Linked DNA regions of Drosophila melanogaster. The protein of the gene in region 1 interacts with the protein of each later gene in a pairwise test. Each region holds a gene or a part of one and is shown in the gene's direction. Other genes may lie near its edges.

What was found.
Region 2: the proteins of CG10565 (region 1) and Spps interact in a two-hybrid assay, tested with the Drosophila melanogaster proteins (one large-scale study listed by BioGRID).
Region 3: the proteins of CG10565 (region 1) and bbx interact in a two-hybrid assay, tested with the Drosophila melanogaster proteins (one large-scale study listed by BioGRID).

What each region holds. Positions count from the first base shown.
Region 1 is NT_037436.4:21,132,750-21,138,306, reverse strand, and holds CG10565 (uncharacterized protein), read left to right. Parts: upstream 1-1,953; 5' UTR 1,954-2,429; coding exon 2,430-2,689; intron 2,690-2,797; coding exon 2,798-2,943; intron 2,944-3,401; coding exon 3,402-4,936; 3' UTR 4,937-5,057; downstream 5,058-5,557. Other genes in the region: Ac78C (adenylyl cyclase 78C), read left to right, coding at 50-453, 513-741, 804-949, 1,087-1,200; ICA69 (islet cell autoantigen 69 kDa), read right to left, coding at 5,145-5,557.
Region 2 is NT_033777.3:24,222,911-24,228,810, reverse strand, and holds Spps (Sp1-like factor for pairing sensitive-silencing), read left to right. Parts: upstream 1-1,876; 5' UTR 1,877-2,155; coding exon 2,156-5,062; coding exon of another isoform or gene 5,063-5,113; 3' UTR 5,114-5,366; downstream 5,367-5,900. Other genes in the region: CG13609 (uncharacterized protein), read right to left, coding at 593-1,687; cav (caravaggio), read right to left, coding at 5,388-5,900.
Region 3 is NC_004354.4:21,361,273-21,366,061, forward strand, and holds the start of bbx (bobby sox), read left to right. Parts: upstream 1-1,755; 5' UTR 1,756-1,786; coding exon of another isoform or gene 1,787-2,329; intron 2,330-2,387; coding exon of another isoform or gene 2,388-3,935; 5' UTR 3,936-3,987; intron 3,988-4,789. Other genes in the region: waw (waclaw), read left to right, coding at 1,787-2,329, 2,388-3,935.

The sequences.
Region 1 (5,557 bases):
CTCCCGGTTGCAAATGTCTAATGATGCCGCACGGCACAAATCAAACCAGGTGACTTTGATGAATTGCTGGAGGAGCCACGATTCGCATCGGTGGAGAAAATCAAAACAGTGGGTGCCACGTATATGGCGGCAGCGGGATTAAATCACGAGCATCTCAGACTTCGCGGCGAGACCTCCGAGGATAGTGTCTGCGACCTGGTGGAGTTCGCATTTGCCATGAAGCAAAAGCTGGAGGAGATCAATGGGGATGCCTTCAATAACTTCCAGCTGCGTGTGGGCATCTGCAGTGGTCCTTTGGTAAGTGGAGTGATTGGAGCCAGGAAACCGGTCTACGATATCTGGGGCAATACGGTCAATGTGGCATCACGAATGGACTCCACGGGCGAGAACTGGCGAGTTCAGGTTCCGGAGAATACGGCGGAATTGCTTTGCTCCAGGGGTTACACGTGTGTGGTAAGTGGGTCTTTTGTTACCTATCCCGAATTCTTATACGTTTTTTCAAAATCCCACAGAAACGTGGTGAAATCGCTGTGAAGGGCAAGGGCATGATGACCACCTTTTATGTGCATCCCAAGGGAATATCGGAGAGCCAGCTGATCTCACCGGTTCGCATGCCAGCCGGGATTCCCCTGGCCCAAACCCCGAATCTTCAGCGGCAGACCTCCCATCATGGATCCTTCAGTGCCGTGGTTTTCGGAATGCTTCAGGCTAGCAAACGCAGCACAGCCATTGCCGGAACACGTAAGTGTTCCTTTCGGGTAACTTAAAATTCTTATAACATTAATTTGATTCTAATGCTTAAGCCACGGGCACTCCTTCGCCGCAAATCCGTCGAGGACATCGGGGAAGCACGTTCAGCTCGGTCCGGTTATCCCAAAAGTCCACCACGGTCAATCCTGTGCGCCGGAATACAACCCGTGTTCGGGGACGTTCATATCGACAGAAAAAGGTACAATACGTAGTGTTTCAAAAATTATTATATATCAAATAGTATTTAAGTTGTTCATATGATTCTGTTTAATTAGAAAGAGTATTTTCTAGAACCTATCTTATATAATGATATATTTTTCCTATTCAATATTTTAGAGTTCCTCCAACAACTCGATCGTCACGCAGGCCAGCTCTAGCTATATGCCCTCGTTCCGACGGATCGACCAGATCGAGACGACGATATCGAAGAGCCACAACGATGCGTTATAGCCGAGTACGCGCACTCACTGGGTCTAAGTCGATCTCAAGGCGATAGAGTGTCTGATGAATTTATTTTTGGAACGATTTTATACAAATGGAGTTACGCCGGCATATGTTTCAAAGTTTGGCTTAACACTGAAATGAAATGGTGGAGAACGACACTGAAGCTACTTAGTAGAATTTTTAAATCACCATACTTGAAGTTGCAAGAATTACATTTATCTCAGCACAATTCTAGTCGTTAAACTTAAGAACTGTCGTTTATATGTGTGCGTTTCAAATCTGTTTAGAGTAAGATATTTGGATCTTCCCACAAAAGCCAACCATACGAAATGCCAATGAACCTACTAGCTTCGTTCAATTCAACCATAATGTGTACCAACTAGTTTTCTAGTACTAATAGTCAATTTAACAGCCAGTAATCAATTAGAAAACCAAATATTAGTTGTACAAACCGTTTCTTTTGATCAAAGAGCGGAAATGTAAATAAAGTAAGCATACTTATGTATAAAATATTTTACGACCATCTAAATGTAATGAGGTCAAGTGTTACTGAAATGTGAAATGGATTTTGGCAAATAAAAGGTGTATTACTATACAGCCAGCACTTATTTAGCACTTTAATTGTAATTATACAATTCGTTATAAATAAATGTGATAAGCAAAACTAACAAATGGTAGAACTTAATGGTTTTTGGAATATACGTCAAGTTATCATTCAAATGAATTATAAACAGTCGTTTTCTTAACTATTGTATGACACTTTCTTTTTTTAGTGGCCCATTATAACAAAAACTCGAATGTGGAATGTATTTAATAGTGTAGGATTTGTTATGTAATGAACGTGGATTAATAATTTGTTAAGACGGTTAACTAAATATATAAATCATAAATAACCATTAGTTGAGATACGGTCACACTTTGGCGCCAAACCAATACAACAGTTGCCATTCGATTTTAGCTATAGCAGCTGGCAGCACTGCCAATAAGTGCCAGCGATACATGCTTGCTGTTATCGATCAAATATAGAGTAGGAAGCCAATCGATTTTACCAGCGCCATAATCGATGATGGCATCGATGTTTCACCACCACTAGTCGAAACACATGCGGTGCTGCGGAAAAGTGTGATTATTAATTGGATTTCGACGTTTTGAAGGCAGCGGATCGCCAAATTTTGAGTAACGTGAATCCACAGGAGTGGCGGTGAATGCCCATTAACCAGCGGACCTGACCAGAGATGACGAGCGGTACGGTAGCAACGGCGGTGGAGGTGCAGCTGCCGCTCAAGGTCGTTCGCCGTAAAATCGAGCGCGTTGGCTTCGCTTACTTTGCGCAACGGCGCCAATTTCTAGCTCCCGGCGGCGTGGAGCGCAGCGAAAGCGATGAGAAATTGGAGGGCGTGGGCGAGGAGGTGGACATCAGCTACCTAAAGTCGCTGGATCCTAAGGAGTGGAAGGACCAGGATCATTACGCCGTTCTTGGCTTGGGCAAGCTCCGGTTAGTGCGACGGCAGCACGTGGTGTTCTTCCCATGTGTTCGTTTCTATCAATATTTAATGGGACTTCCCCAACTAATACTGTATTGTCTGACTAAATCACCCTTTAGATACGAGGCCAGCGAGGATGATGTTCGACGGGCTTACAGGCGCATGGTTCTGCTGCACCATCCCGATAAGCGGAAAGCCAAGGGCGAGGAAGTCATCCAGGACGATGATTACTTCACATGCATAACCAAAGCTTACGAGATACTGGGTGGGTGTCAAGAAAATGTCCTTGCTGATCCTTGGGTGTCCTTCGGACTTCGCATTGCCCATGCAAATCGACAGATAAGAATATTTTGATATTAATTTTCAGAGCATTTGCTTAAGCTATATAAAATTATGATACCATACAATCCTGTTGAGTATAATAATCAATTAAGATTTTAAATTATCTGAAACTAATTTATACTCGATCTAATTCATTGGTGTGCTGTTGCCTTTGTCTAAGCGCGCAGAACTTGAAGCTTTATTTTTGCATATCTAAAAATAGGACTAGTTGTTTGCTCTCACATTCTTTTAAACAAAATGCCAAATTATAACTTACTATTATACAACAGAATTTTTTTGGCTTTAAACACTTTGAATAATTGTAAACAATTGTACGAAATAGACAGGAAGATTTTAAACTATTTCCTCTTAAACCATCTAATACTCCATCTTGTATTCCAGGCACATCCAAGCCGCGCCGCAGCTTTGACTCAGTGGATCCCGAGTTTGACGACTCGCTGCCCTCACAGAACGACATCGATAACGACTACTTTGGCGTATTTAACAAATTTTTCACACTTAACGGGCGCTGGAGCGAAAAGCCGCATGTTCCCTCCTTCGGGCAGGTGGACGCCAAACGCGAAGAGGTGGAGCGCTTCTACAACTTCTGGTACGATTTTAAGTCATGGCGGGAATTCAGCTACTTGGACGAAGAGGACAAGGAGAAGGGCCAGGACCGCGACGAACGTCGCTGGATCGAAAAGGAGAACAGGGCGGCTCGAATCAAGCGCAAGAAGGAGGAAATGTCTCGTATCCGGTCGCTCGTCGATTTAGCCTACAACAATGATAAGCGCATTCAGCGCTTCAAGCAGGAGGAAAAGGATCGCAAGGCTGCTGCCAAGCGAGCCAAGATGGACGCCGCCCAGGCCCAGAAGGCAGAAGCTGATCGTGCCATCCGTGAAGCGGCTTTGGCCAAGGAGAAGGCTGAAAAGGCCGAGCAGAAACGCATCGAGCAGATCCGCATCGAACGCGAGCAGCAGAAAAAGCTGCTTAAGAAGGAGCGCAAAACGCTGCGCGACAAGGTCAAGGACTGCAAGTATTATGCCAAGAACGACAAGGATCAGCTGAAGCACATGGAGGGCACCGAGAAGATTTGCGAGACCTTCAATCTGGCAGAGCTGCAAGCTCTAAATAAGGCAATGGAAAGCAAGGGCCGTGAGTCGTTTGTTGCTGCCCTTCAAACGGCCGAGCAGAAGATAGCTGCCGAGTTGGAGGAGATTAACCAGACACAGGCCAAGAAGCTTGCCAGCTCAGCGGCCACGCCAAAAGGCGTTAAGGAGGTCAAGAAGAATGAGCTCTGGAGCAATGAGAACGTGCAGTTGCTTATCAAGGCGGTTAATCTGTTTCCCGCTGGCACTGCACAGCGTTGGGATGTCATAGCCACTTTCATTAACCAGCATAGCCCGGATAACACTGTTCTGGTCAATGCCAGGGATGTGCTCAACAAAGCCAAGGCGCTCCAGAACACAGATCACTCGAAGAGCTCCCTGAAGACTCAAGCCAACGATGCGGCATTTGCCAGTTTCGAGAAGTCCAAGAAAGATGTTCAGACGTGTAAGGATATAACCCTGGGCGAGGAGACGGCCCAGGCGAGCAAGGAGAACTTGAAACAAAACGGTGTAGATCATAAGGCGAACAATCAGTCAACCAAGCAGAATGGCACGGCTCCAGCTCCAGCAAACCCCACGGCTGCACCAGCCCCAGTTCCGGCCACAAATGGGTCTACGGGCGGCGGTGCTGCCTCCAAAACCTGGACCAAGGAGGAGCAAGCCCTGCTCGAACAGGCCATTAAAACCTATCCAACGACGACACCCGATCGCTGGGATTGCATCGCCGCCTGCATACCGAATCGCAGTAAAAAGGACTGCTTACGTCGCGTCAAAGAGCTGGTCGAGCTGGTTAACTCCAAGAAGGAGGCACAGGCGGCGGTCAAATGAGTGCGGCTCCTGCTCCACTTTACCTGCCTCTCGTCCGCCTCATCCACTTCTAGCTGCTGTGTCCCATATAAATTTTATTTAAATAAAACATAAAAAGTTTTTGAACGTTTAGCGAAAAGTTACATCCAAAGATTCTCCATTTTGACTAGCTAGTTTCCAACGGTATATGCAGATCAACAAATATAATCTGTGCGGGAGGGTAATCTGCTCAGGTCTGCTCGGCCACACTGCGTCCGCCGCTCAGTTTTAAATCGAAGGCTTGCGGATTGGCTAAGGGATCCAAGTCGGCGAAAAGATCCAGCCAGGGATTGTTGGTGGTCTGCGATTTGCTGGGAACCGGGGTGGCGCCACCTGCACTTGCCTTCGAGTCCGTGGCTACTTGGCTCGGTATGGGTTGCTGATTCTGCTGGCTAAACAAGCGGGACCATAGCTTGTTAGTGCTATTTTGGGCAGGTATATCTTCATCCAGCGGCGCATCTATTAGAGGACTGTCCTCCAGCTGCTTGGAAAGCTCAATAAGCAAGGATTCATTGTCGCCGCAGGCATTGGGAGGTGCACTTGGTTTGTCCTCTTCGGACTCCTTGATTTCCGGCTGGGTTTCCAGCTTGTCCTGGTACTCGT
Region 2 (5,900 bases), on another chromosome or scaffold:
ATGTAATCCTTAAGACGAAGATGATGAACCCAACATATGAAAATACTTATTCGATCAATTCACAACTAATACGAAAAGGAAAGGATTTTGCATTCGGAAGATTATTTTTATTTCAAACTTCCTAAATAGAAGCATTCATTAGATTACTTATTTTACAGTCGGGGTTTTTTTTTTAATGTCTATTAATGCTGCAGCATCTGACATGCGATAACACAGTTGTCCTTGACCTAGTTGTAGAACATAAACATAATAGATGCACATCAAAAATGTTTATTTATAAGATCGGTTAAGTTTTAATATGGCAACGTATGACAGACATTCGTAATACAAACTTGCGTAAATGCATTCAGGAGTTCGCAGTTTTATGATTATTTATCTGATTACATATTTTAGCCTTGGTATGTTTTCCCACTGGGGACGTGCGAGCGTATCTTGTTTAAATATTCTTTGGTCTATATTTATAATAATTAAACAAAAAAAAAAAAAATATCTAATTATAAAACAATACTTTCTTCGATGACTATAAATTTGATATACCTAGAGTTCAAATAAATATTTTAAATATACTTTGAGATCATCTTGAGATACTTGTTTACTCTTTGTTTCTCGCCTTTTGGCGATGTTCGTCTAATACTTCCCGCAATCGCTTGACGAAATTAGCTTGATCTCTCGGAATAAAGCCCAGGAAGGCGTTCCTCGGGGACGAATACAGCAGCATGATAACCTTGCAGACGACCTCGGAGGAAAATCGGGCACAGCCACAACTGCCGGCGGACATTGATGATGCTAGCGAGTCGTGTTCTTCTCCAGGTGTCGATCGGAGAATTATAAGTTTCGAGTCCTTTATAAACGCTCCGGCGAACTGACCAAGATAAATTGAAGGCATCAAAACCATAGGCATATCAGTTGGCCAATCCTCCGCACTGATCCCGGGATCACCGTTTTTTATAGCTATGTACACGGAACACTCAAGCTTGTGACTAATGCTTGGCTCCTCTAAACTTGCTTGTGTCGACCAATTCAGCGATCCAGTCCATAGGAGTTCATTTATAATGGCATCTTCCTCCACAGGAGGCGGTTCTTCTGGCTGTGGCTGCTTGGGTGTTTTGACGCCCGGCTTTCGTTTTGCACCCTGAAGAATCTCCTGCAGTCGTTCGCTAAACGAATCCTCATTGTTGGGTATGAAGCCAACCAAAGCTTGATGATCGCGCGAGTAGATGAGAATTAGAGCCTTGATGTTGCAGTTGGGATTGGAGGGGAAGTGGATGCAACCAGCGAAACCAGAGCTCATCGCCGTGATCAATAAATTGAGTACCTCTCCTTGGCTGGATCGGAATACAACCATCCTGGCATCCTTTAGGAATTGTTCGCCAATTTTACCCAGCACTTTTTTGGGTATCAGTTGTGTTTTCAGCTTGTTTGGCCAGTTCTCCGTGTTGATCTCCGGCTGACCTTCTTTAACCATGGAGCAGATTTTGCATTGGACCGTGTGCAGAGTCTTCGGTTGATCCAATATCTGTGCATCCTCCCATTCGAGCTCTCCACTCCAAATTGTTTCCTTTGAGTCACCATTTTCAGGATTTTCCGGTTCTTTTTGCAAAAGCAACGCCCCAATCATATGTGTTAGACAATCGAGTTCCCCTTCGTCATCACCCACTCCTCGGGCTTCCTCTGGAACCGGCTCCATGCCCCTTTCAAGATGCAATCTAATTAAATATGGATTTTGTCGGATAGGCAACTTGTCGGTTAAAAATTTGTTTATCTGTGATATGCTTCTTCTTGCTTTTAGCGGTTTGTTATTGGTATCGCACTATCGGTTGGCTGGTTGGTCGATTGGCGGCCATCGAGATGCAACGCAATGCAACCCTGGCCAATCACTCTCACTTCTTCTTCTGCGTTTGTGTCAAAACAAAATTAAAACTAAAAACTCGCTAAAACCGTCTCGCAGCGCAATTATCTTTAGACTTCGTGTTATTTATGTGTTTGAATGTTAGCGTCGGCACCCCGCATCCCAGTGTTCATAACCCCATGTGTGCCACCTTGGTTTAAATGCTACCAATCTCCTGGCAGAGTAGCGCGTCTGAGCGAATAAAAAAACTGAACATGTTTCGCTCCAAGCACTTGTGATTGACCAAATCTCATCTAAAGCCCTGCCATGCTGCAGTACAAGAGTGCCGCCAGTGCGGCGACTAGTGCGCCACCCGCCACGCCTTTGGCGGCAGGCGGTTCCAGCAAGGCGACGATTCCACCAAATGGAGCTAGTGCAGCAGCTTCACAAACGCAGGTTCACGGTGCTCCCGGGACACCAACCATGCAGCAGATCATCAACATTCACCAAATGCCTCCTCAGTTTGCAGGCGGAGCGGTTGCCGGGAACGGACAGAACGCTGGCATGCCCCAAAACATGTTCCAGATCGTACAGCCCATGCCCATGCAAACGGTGAACATTGATGGCCAGGAGGCCATCTTCATACCAAACCTCAATGCACAACTGGCCACCGCTCAGGCGGTCAACTTCAACGGGCAACAGGCCTTTATCACGCCCAACGGTCAAATTCTGCGGGCTCCCCAGATGGCAGCTAATCCGGCAGCCTCTAACTGCATTCAGCTGCAACAGCTGAACGGCTTGGGCCAGGAGCAAACCCAGCTGATCACCATACCCGGCACCAACATTCAAATACCCGTCACCAATCTCATTCAGCAACAACAGCAGGCACAACAAGTGCACCAGGGTACAGTGCAACAGCAGGCACAAGGAACAAATGCATCTGGAGCCAATGGATCGGGAGTTACCAATAGTGGGACAGCGGGTCAGCTGCCGGGCAGCATCACCATACCGGGCACAAACCTGCAGATACCAACCTCGGTAGCGGCGGCGAATGGATTGCTGGGAAACATCTCCAATATCTCCAATTTACTAGGCGGCGGGCAATCTATAAAGTTGGAGAACGGCCAATTGCAGATGCGGCCGCAACTGGTGCAGTTTCCGGCGCCAGCCATGCCGCAGCAGCAACAAACGGTTGCTGTGCAGATTCCCGTTCAGACTGCTAACGGACAGACCATCTACCAGACTGTACATGTGCCCGTCCAGGCAGCGGCAACATCGAGCGGCGGACTGCAAAACCTGATGCAGGCGCAATCCCTGCAGATGCCCTCCGCCTCGCAGATGCAAATCATCCCGCAGTTCTCACAGATAGCCCAGATTGTTACGCCCAACGGTCAGATTCAGCAGGTGCAACTGGCAATGCCGTATCCTCAGCTGCCTCCGAATGCCAACATTATACATATCCAGAATCCCCACCAGCAGCAGCAACAACAAGTACAACAACAACAACAGCAGCAGCAGGCGCAACAGCAGCAGCAAGCGCAACAGCAACAGGCACAGCAGCAGCAACAACAACAGGTCCAGGCGCAGCACCAGCAGCTCCTTCAGGCGATCAGCGATGCCTCGGCGGGGGGACAACTGCCGCCCAATCAGCCCATCACCATTACCAATGCCCAGGGCCAACAGCTGACCGTGATTCCCGCCCAACTACGCCCAAATGCGCCTACCGCACCCACTCCTGCTCCAGCTGGTGTGCCCACACCAATGCAGATGCCCAATCTTCAGGCTTTACCCATCCAGAACATCCCAGGCCTGGGTCAAGTGCAAATCATTCACGCCAATCAGCTGCCTCCTAATCTGCCAGCCAACTTCCAGCAAGTACTAACCCAACTACCCATGTCGCATCCTCAAGTGCAAACTCAGGGCCAAGTTCAGGTGATGCCCAAGCAGGAGCCGCAGAGTCCAACGCAAATGATCACCAGCATCAAGCAAGAGCCGCCGGATACCTTTGGACCCATTTCCGCAACTGGTAATCCTCCGGCACCTGCCTCTACTCCAAACACAGCCTCACCGCAACAGCAGCAGATCAAGTTCCTGCATACGGAAAGCAATTCCCTGTCCAGCCTGAGCATACCAGCCTCCATTCAGATCACAGCCCTGCCACAGCAAGCGACGAATACACCGAATACCCCAGCCACAACCCAACCAATTCCCGTATCGTTACCTGCAAGAAGTAAGGTCAACGCTGTGACCACGTCAAGCACCCAGATTACAATTGCGCCGACTGGTGGCCAAGTGGTGTCCGTCACGACGCAGGCTAGGGGAGCAACTGCCAGCATAAGGAGCACGAACACCAGCACGACGACTATAACAACGCCGTCACAAAGCCATCTCAATATGAACATAAGTGTGGCCAGCGTCGGAGGTGCTGCAACTGGCGGCGGCGGTGGAACAGCGACTGGAGAGCCCAAACCACGCTTAAAGCGAGTAGCCTGCACCTGTCCCAATTGTACAGATGGCGAAAAACACTCGGACAAGAAGCGCCAGCATATATGCCATATAACCGGCTGCCATAAGGTATACGGGAAAACTTCCCATCTAAGGGCTCACCTGCGTTGGCATACTGGCGAGCGACCATTTGTCTGCTCCTGGGCGTTTTGCGGCAAGCGCTTCACCCGCTCCGATGAACTGCAGCGCCACCGACGAACGCACACGGGAGAGAAGCGTTTCCAGTGCCAGGAGTGCAACAAAAAGTTCATGCGCAGCGATCACCTGTCGAAGCACATCAAGACGCACTTTAAGAGCCGCTCTGGCGTGGAGCTAATTGAGCTGAGCATCAAGCAGGAGACCAAGGGTGGCAATGCACCGAAAAGCATTAGCACGGTGAACGGCATTGTGACGATTGAGATTCCGGGCGGCGGTTCAGCGGCGGCGGGCAGTGGAGCCTCCAGTGTGGCGGCCACGGTTGCAGGCTCAACTGTGACGCCGGGCGGGGCCACGATCGTTCAGCTGCCGACTGTGGAGGCCAGCGGCGGGGGTGATAGTTTCGGCGATGATGAGGACGACGAGGAGGATGATGAATTGACCGAAGAGGACGACGAAGACGAGGAGCTCGACGAGGACGATATGGATGATTGCGAGGATGAGGAGGATGACGAGGATCCAGAACTAGACAGTGGCGATGAAGTGAAGATGACAATTGCGGTCAGTGAGCCTGGCGACAATTCGTCCAACTAGCATTCGGAGTCGCTGTTCATGGAACAGTTCTTGTTTGACCACTTCCCGTAGCACCCACCGCCCCCTGCCGCGCCCCATGGGACCATGGTTTAGCAATATATAAATTGTACATAGCGTAATTATGTAAAAGCGAGCATTTTAAATGTTTACCCTTCTTGTACAGCTCCGGTTGCGGATCATCCTAGATTAGTGTACATAGCTTAATCGACCATCGTATTTTAATTAAGATTTTTATTATACATTTTATAACATTTTTAGGGATTACATGTTTTTAATTAATTAACACCAATAAATGAAGAACTTTATATAGTTTAATATATGGACATCAGGCTATTGAGGTGACGTCGATCGGCTCAGATTCTGTATTTTGAAAAGTGATAGTTCCTTCCGAATCAATTGACGGTCCAATCGACAAGCTTTCCGAATTAATTTGATCACACCTTACCCAGCTCTCATTCATCTCTGTCTCTGGACAGTTTACCTGATCGTCAGGCTCTTGAGTCGACGTGGGTCGTACTAATGTGCTCAATTGGGTGCCAAACATATAGTAGTCCGGATCAGACTCCGTATTCCGGAAACTGTTATTTGCTTGCGAATTTATACATCCAGTCCGCATCCTTCCTAAATTAATTGGATCACATCTCACCGAATTCTCATTAATCTCTGTCTCTGGACGGTTGATGTTCTCATCCTGAAATCCTGACTGCTGCTGTTCGTCCTCATCGTCTCCGATGCCGCTAAGATCAGATGACGACACGCCTGGCGGAGCCATCGCTTCCACTTGAAAGTTCATTTGAGACAGTGAACTAAGATTTGTGTTTGCTTGGTCCTCGTGGCT
Region 3 (4,789 bases), on another chromosome or scaffold:
ATCTAGGCTAAGCGAATCCAATCCGATTTATATTGTATGTTAATTCATTTTTGTCTGTTTACCTTACCCTTATCTGTGTTGTCTCAAAGCGAGCAATTTATTTAGGTTATACTATATGTTGCGTGTCAGCCTGCCCTTCCGATCCTTCTTGACCTCCATGGTCCGCTGTCCTGCAGTGCCGCCCGATTCCTAAGCACGATCTGATTGAATAAACAGTGATCCCTTCCTAGGCGGTCCCGGGAACCCATGGCCAGTTGCGGAAACTCGGTTTAGCAGGCTACTCGCTTAAAAGTGCACTCCTTTAACGGATGAAACAAAAACCAAAATGTGAAATCTCTTTTATTATGTATATGAAGACTTTTTTAACTCAATATAATCCTCTATGAATATATAAATATGCTTTTTATACAATTTGTAAGCCAGACCGTCTTATGCATTTTCTTGTAGTCTCCCATTTACTCAAAGTGTAAGGGGGCATACTATTTGTATTCTTGAGGAGATCACTAGCCGACTCCATCCAGTTACATATGTATGTACATATATGTACGTCTGTCCGTATGAGCGTCAATATCTCGGAAACTTTAACAAGCCGAATGTTCCAACTGCCAAGCCCATTTGTTTGTTTGATAAGTTTACTTTTGTTGTATTTCAATAACAATAGTTAGGCATTCATATCCTTTAGATACATTTGCAGTTGTGTTCGCCTGATGCCTGGCAAAATCTTAACCTTTTAGACACTTTTCACAACTGCTTGTCTTGCTTTTTTAGAGCGAAACCAAAATGCTCATTCAACGTATGCATTCGAAAACACAAGCAAGCACAAGAGTAACATTGCGAGATTTCACTATCAGCTTTTCCAATCACATTGGCATTATTGTTAGTAGAACAAAAGTTTTACTTGTACATATTTGTCAAGCGTTCGTCGAAAGAGCTTAAGGATCCTCACAACCTCAAGTATCCCTAGTTCAACCCATACTTGAGTATTGTCCGTGTGTATGGTCTCCTCAACACGTCTAGCATCAAGGTCTTGTGGAATCGGTACAGGGACACAGCCAGGATAATCCCTACCATCCCATCAATCATTCTCATGAAAAGAAGACTTATTTTTTCGAGACGAAAACGATCTCTATGTTGGATACATATTTTAGACGGAAGCAGTATCGGGTTTCAGATTGTAGAAGATGATGTGTGGGTAAGGTTAAAAAACCAAGAAAGAGATCGAAAAATAAGAGCAAAGTCAGTTGCAATCTGAGAATGGTTCGATCTCGACCTGAGTATGCTGAGCATGATTCGATCTTGGCTAGATTTTGAGATCGAAGTTCTTAAATCGAGATCGTTGAGAACGGCTTTTTCTCTGACTGTGCTGAGGTCAAACCCCCTTTTTCTGGAACCAGCAGTTCCTCCAGCTCCCTTGCTGGTCTATTACAATTACCATTTACCATTGTAAGCTGTTCCAAGAAAAGAACCTCGGCTTCTAGAAATCGAATCTCGCAGCGATGACTTCCTCACGAAAGCAGTTGAAAAAACAGAATATTTATGATATATAGCTCAATATTTCGGACTTTCTTACTTGTTTATTTATGAATATAAACCTATAGGCAATCTGAGATCTAGGAGCATTACGATCTTTCGCTTAAGAATATGTTTAATTTGCATCCGAGAACAAATTAGTAAAGGATTATTGAGTTGTAAATATTTGTTCATGTGTAAACATCGGTTTTCGTAGATTGCCAACAGATGGCGCTGTTTGTCACAAGATGGACAGTATTTTCCTGCTGTCTTACACATGATTGTCGGCTACTCGGTATTTTTTCATCATACGGTCACACGGCGCACATGGTGTGCGGTAACAATTTTTTTTTGCCGGCAAAGAAATGTAAATTCAGCCATGATTCGTGCGATTTCAATCCGTTGGCTGCTGCAGCGCCCGGGGGACAAACGACACTCCGCCTGGCTGGTGGCCAGGTCAAAGAGCTTACTCGTCCGCAACCTGAGCACCACCAATCAGGTCAAGGGCGAAACGGAGGAGCCCTCGCAGGCGGATCTGTTGCGCGAGTTTGCCCACATGCCGGTGGAGCGCATTCGGAACTTCAGCATCATTGCGCATGTCGATCACGGCAAGAGCACGCTGGCTGACCGGTTGCTGGAGCTCACGGGAGCCATTGCGCGTAATGGCGGGCAGCACCAGGTACTGGACAACCTGCAGGTGGAGCGGGAGCGTGGGATCACGGTCAAGGCCCAGACCGCATCGATCTTCCACCGTCACAAGGGACAGCTCTATCTGCTGAACCTCATTGACACTCCTGGTCACGTGGATTTTTCCAATGAAGTGTGTTTCATGTCAAAAGTCTGCTAATTCTTCTGCTAATCATTTGCCCATTACCCAGGTTTCGCGATCTCTGGCTGCCTGCGACGGCGTGGTACTCCTGGTGGACGCATGCCATGGTGTCCAGGCTCAAACCGTGGCCAACTATCACTTAGCCAAGCAGCGTCAGTTGGCAGTGGTTCCCGTGCTCAACAAGATAGACATCAAGCATGCAAACCCTGATCAGGTTTGTCAGGATCTAAAGCTGCTGTTTGGCATAGATCCGGACGAGGTGCTGCGCGTGTCCGCCAAGCTGGGCACCGGCGTATCTGAAGTCTTAGAAAGGGTCATAGAAACTGTGCCGCCACCACAAGTTCAACGGGACAGCGACTTTCGGGCCCTAATCTTCGACAGCTGGTTCGACAAGTATCGCGGAGCCCTTAATCTAATTTATGTGCTGAATGGCAAGCTAGAGCAGAATCAGGATATTCAGTCGCTAGCCACCAAGAAGGTGTATTCCGTCAAGAGCATCTCTGTGTTGAGACCAGCCGAGTGTCCTGTTCCGGATGTATCCGCTGGTCAAGTGGGCTTGATTGCTTGCAATATGCGCAACAGCAAGGAATCCATTGTGGGCGATACCATTCACCTGAAGAACCAAGCAGTCGCCGCCGCAGGAAGCTATCGACCGCAACAGCCGCTTGTTTTTGCTGGAGTTTTTCCCGCCGACCAGTCAAAACATGTCGCCCTGCGCAGTGCCATCGACAAAATGGTACTCAATGACTCAGCGGTAACTGTAAAAATTGATTCCAGCCCAGCTTTGGGACAAGGTTGGCGTTTGGGCTTCCTGGGACTTCTGCACATGGAGGTCTTCTGTCAGCGCCTGGAGCAGGAGCATGGCGCTGAGCCCATAATCACCGCGCCTTCCGTCACATATCGTTTGGTCTTGAGTAATCCAAAGATGATCAAGCAACAGGGTCGCGATACAATGGACATTTCCAATGCAGCCCTCTTCCCGGAACCGCATTCCATCAAGGAGTACTATGAGCCCTTGGTTTTGGGCACAATCATCACGCCCACGGAGTATGTTGGCCAGGTGATCAGCCTGTGTGTGGAGCGTCGGGGATTGCAGCAAAGCTCGGTGAACATCGACGACACCCGTGTGCTAATGAAGTACGTACTGCCGTTAAGCGAGATCATCCTGGACTTCCACGACCGCCTCAAGTCGTTAAGTTCTGGCTACGCCAGTTTCAGCTACGAGGACCACGGCTATCATCCATCGCACTTGGTTCGATTGGACATCCATCTGAACGGCAAGCCCGTGGAGGAGCTCTGCCGCATTGTCCATGTGTCCAAGGCCACGGGCGTGGCACGGCAGATGGTTCTCAAACTCCGGGAGCTTATTCCAAAGCAGATGGTACAGATCGCAATCCAGGCATGCGTGGGCAGCAAGGTGCTAGCGCGCGAGACCATCAAGGCCTATCGCAAGGATGTGACAGCCAAGCTTTATGGTGGGGATGTCACCCGGCGGATGAAGCTGCTCAAGCAGCAGGCCGAGGGCAAGAAGAAGATGCGCATGTTCGCCAACATCCGCGTTCCTCACGAGACCTTCATCAATGTGCTCAAGCGGTAGGATCAATCCCGACCAGAACATCGCTTCTCAAAGCTATTTGTGGACAATTTAGGTGAGTGATTGTTGCCATTCCAAAAATGGGCACCTAATATTTCAATTAATAGTAGTTGGACAGTAATGCTAGGAATAGCTTGTACTATTCAGTCAACTGATAACCTTAAAGTGGATTTTTGGGTCTCTCCAATCCATACTTTATTAAACAACAAACAACATTGTGGTGTTCTTTTCCCTAATTTAAATGGAAATATTTGACAAAAGCCTACATATTTAGTATCGTTTAAAAAATACTTGAGGGTGCGGCTGTCGCTTATCATTATGTACCCTTCAACCGCCCCCATTTTCCTCCCGAGTTTCCGCGGCTTGTGCGATACGTCTTATCATTGTTTGGCTCTTGGTCGCAAATAGAATAATTATTCCGTCTTATGATAATGTACTCGCGGAATTGGGCGCGGTTGTGGAACGCCCCTTTTTCAAAGTTCATTAACATTAGAAACTAGACTAAAACTAGCACAAAGCTAACCAAGAGGTAGCGCAGTGAGAGTGGGGAGTGTTTGTCGCAGCCAATCGATATTAATTCTTTTATATTTTTATAAATAAATGATCTGGTAGATTCGTTGTCGTCCGTATAAACGTCCTGATCTCTGAAACTACAGGAGACTTGGGATTGAACATGCGCATGTTTAGTTTAGTTTCAAATGTGGAGGAAATTAGGTTCAAGTTAACTAGAGGACATTGAACAGAACCGAGTAATCTGAGTAATCTCTAAGGAACTTGGATTATTAATAACTTTTCAAAAAATCGTGTTCGATAGCATCATACAAATTCGTTTAGTTTCAGTAAAATGAATTAAAACT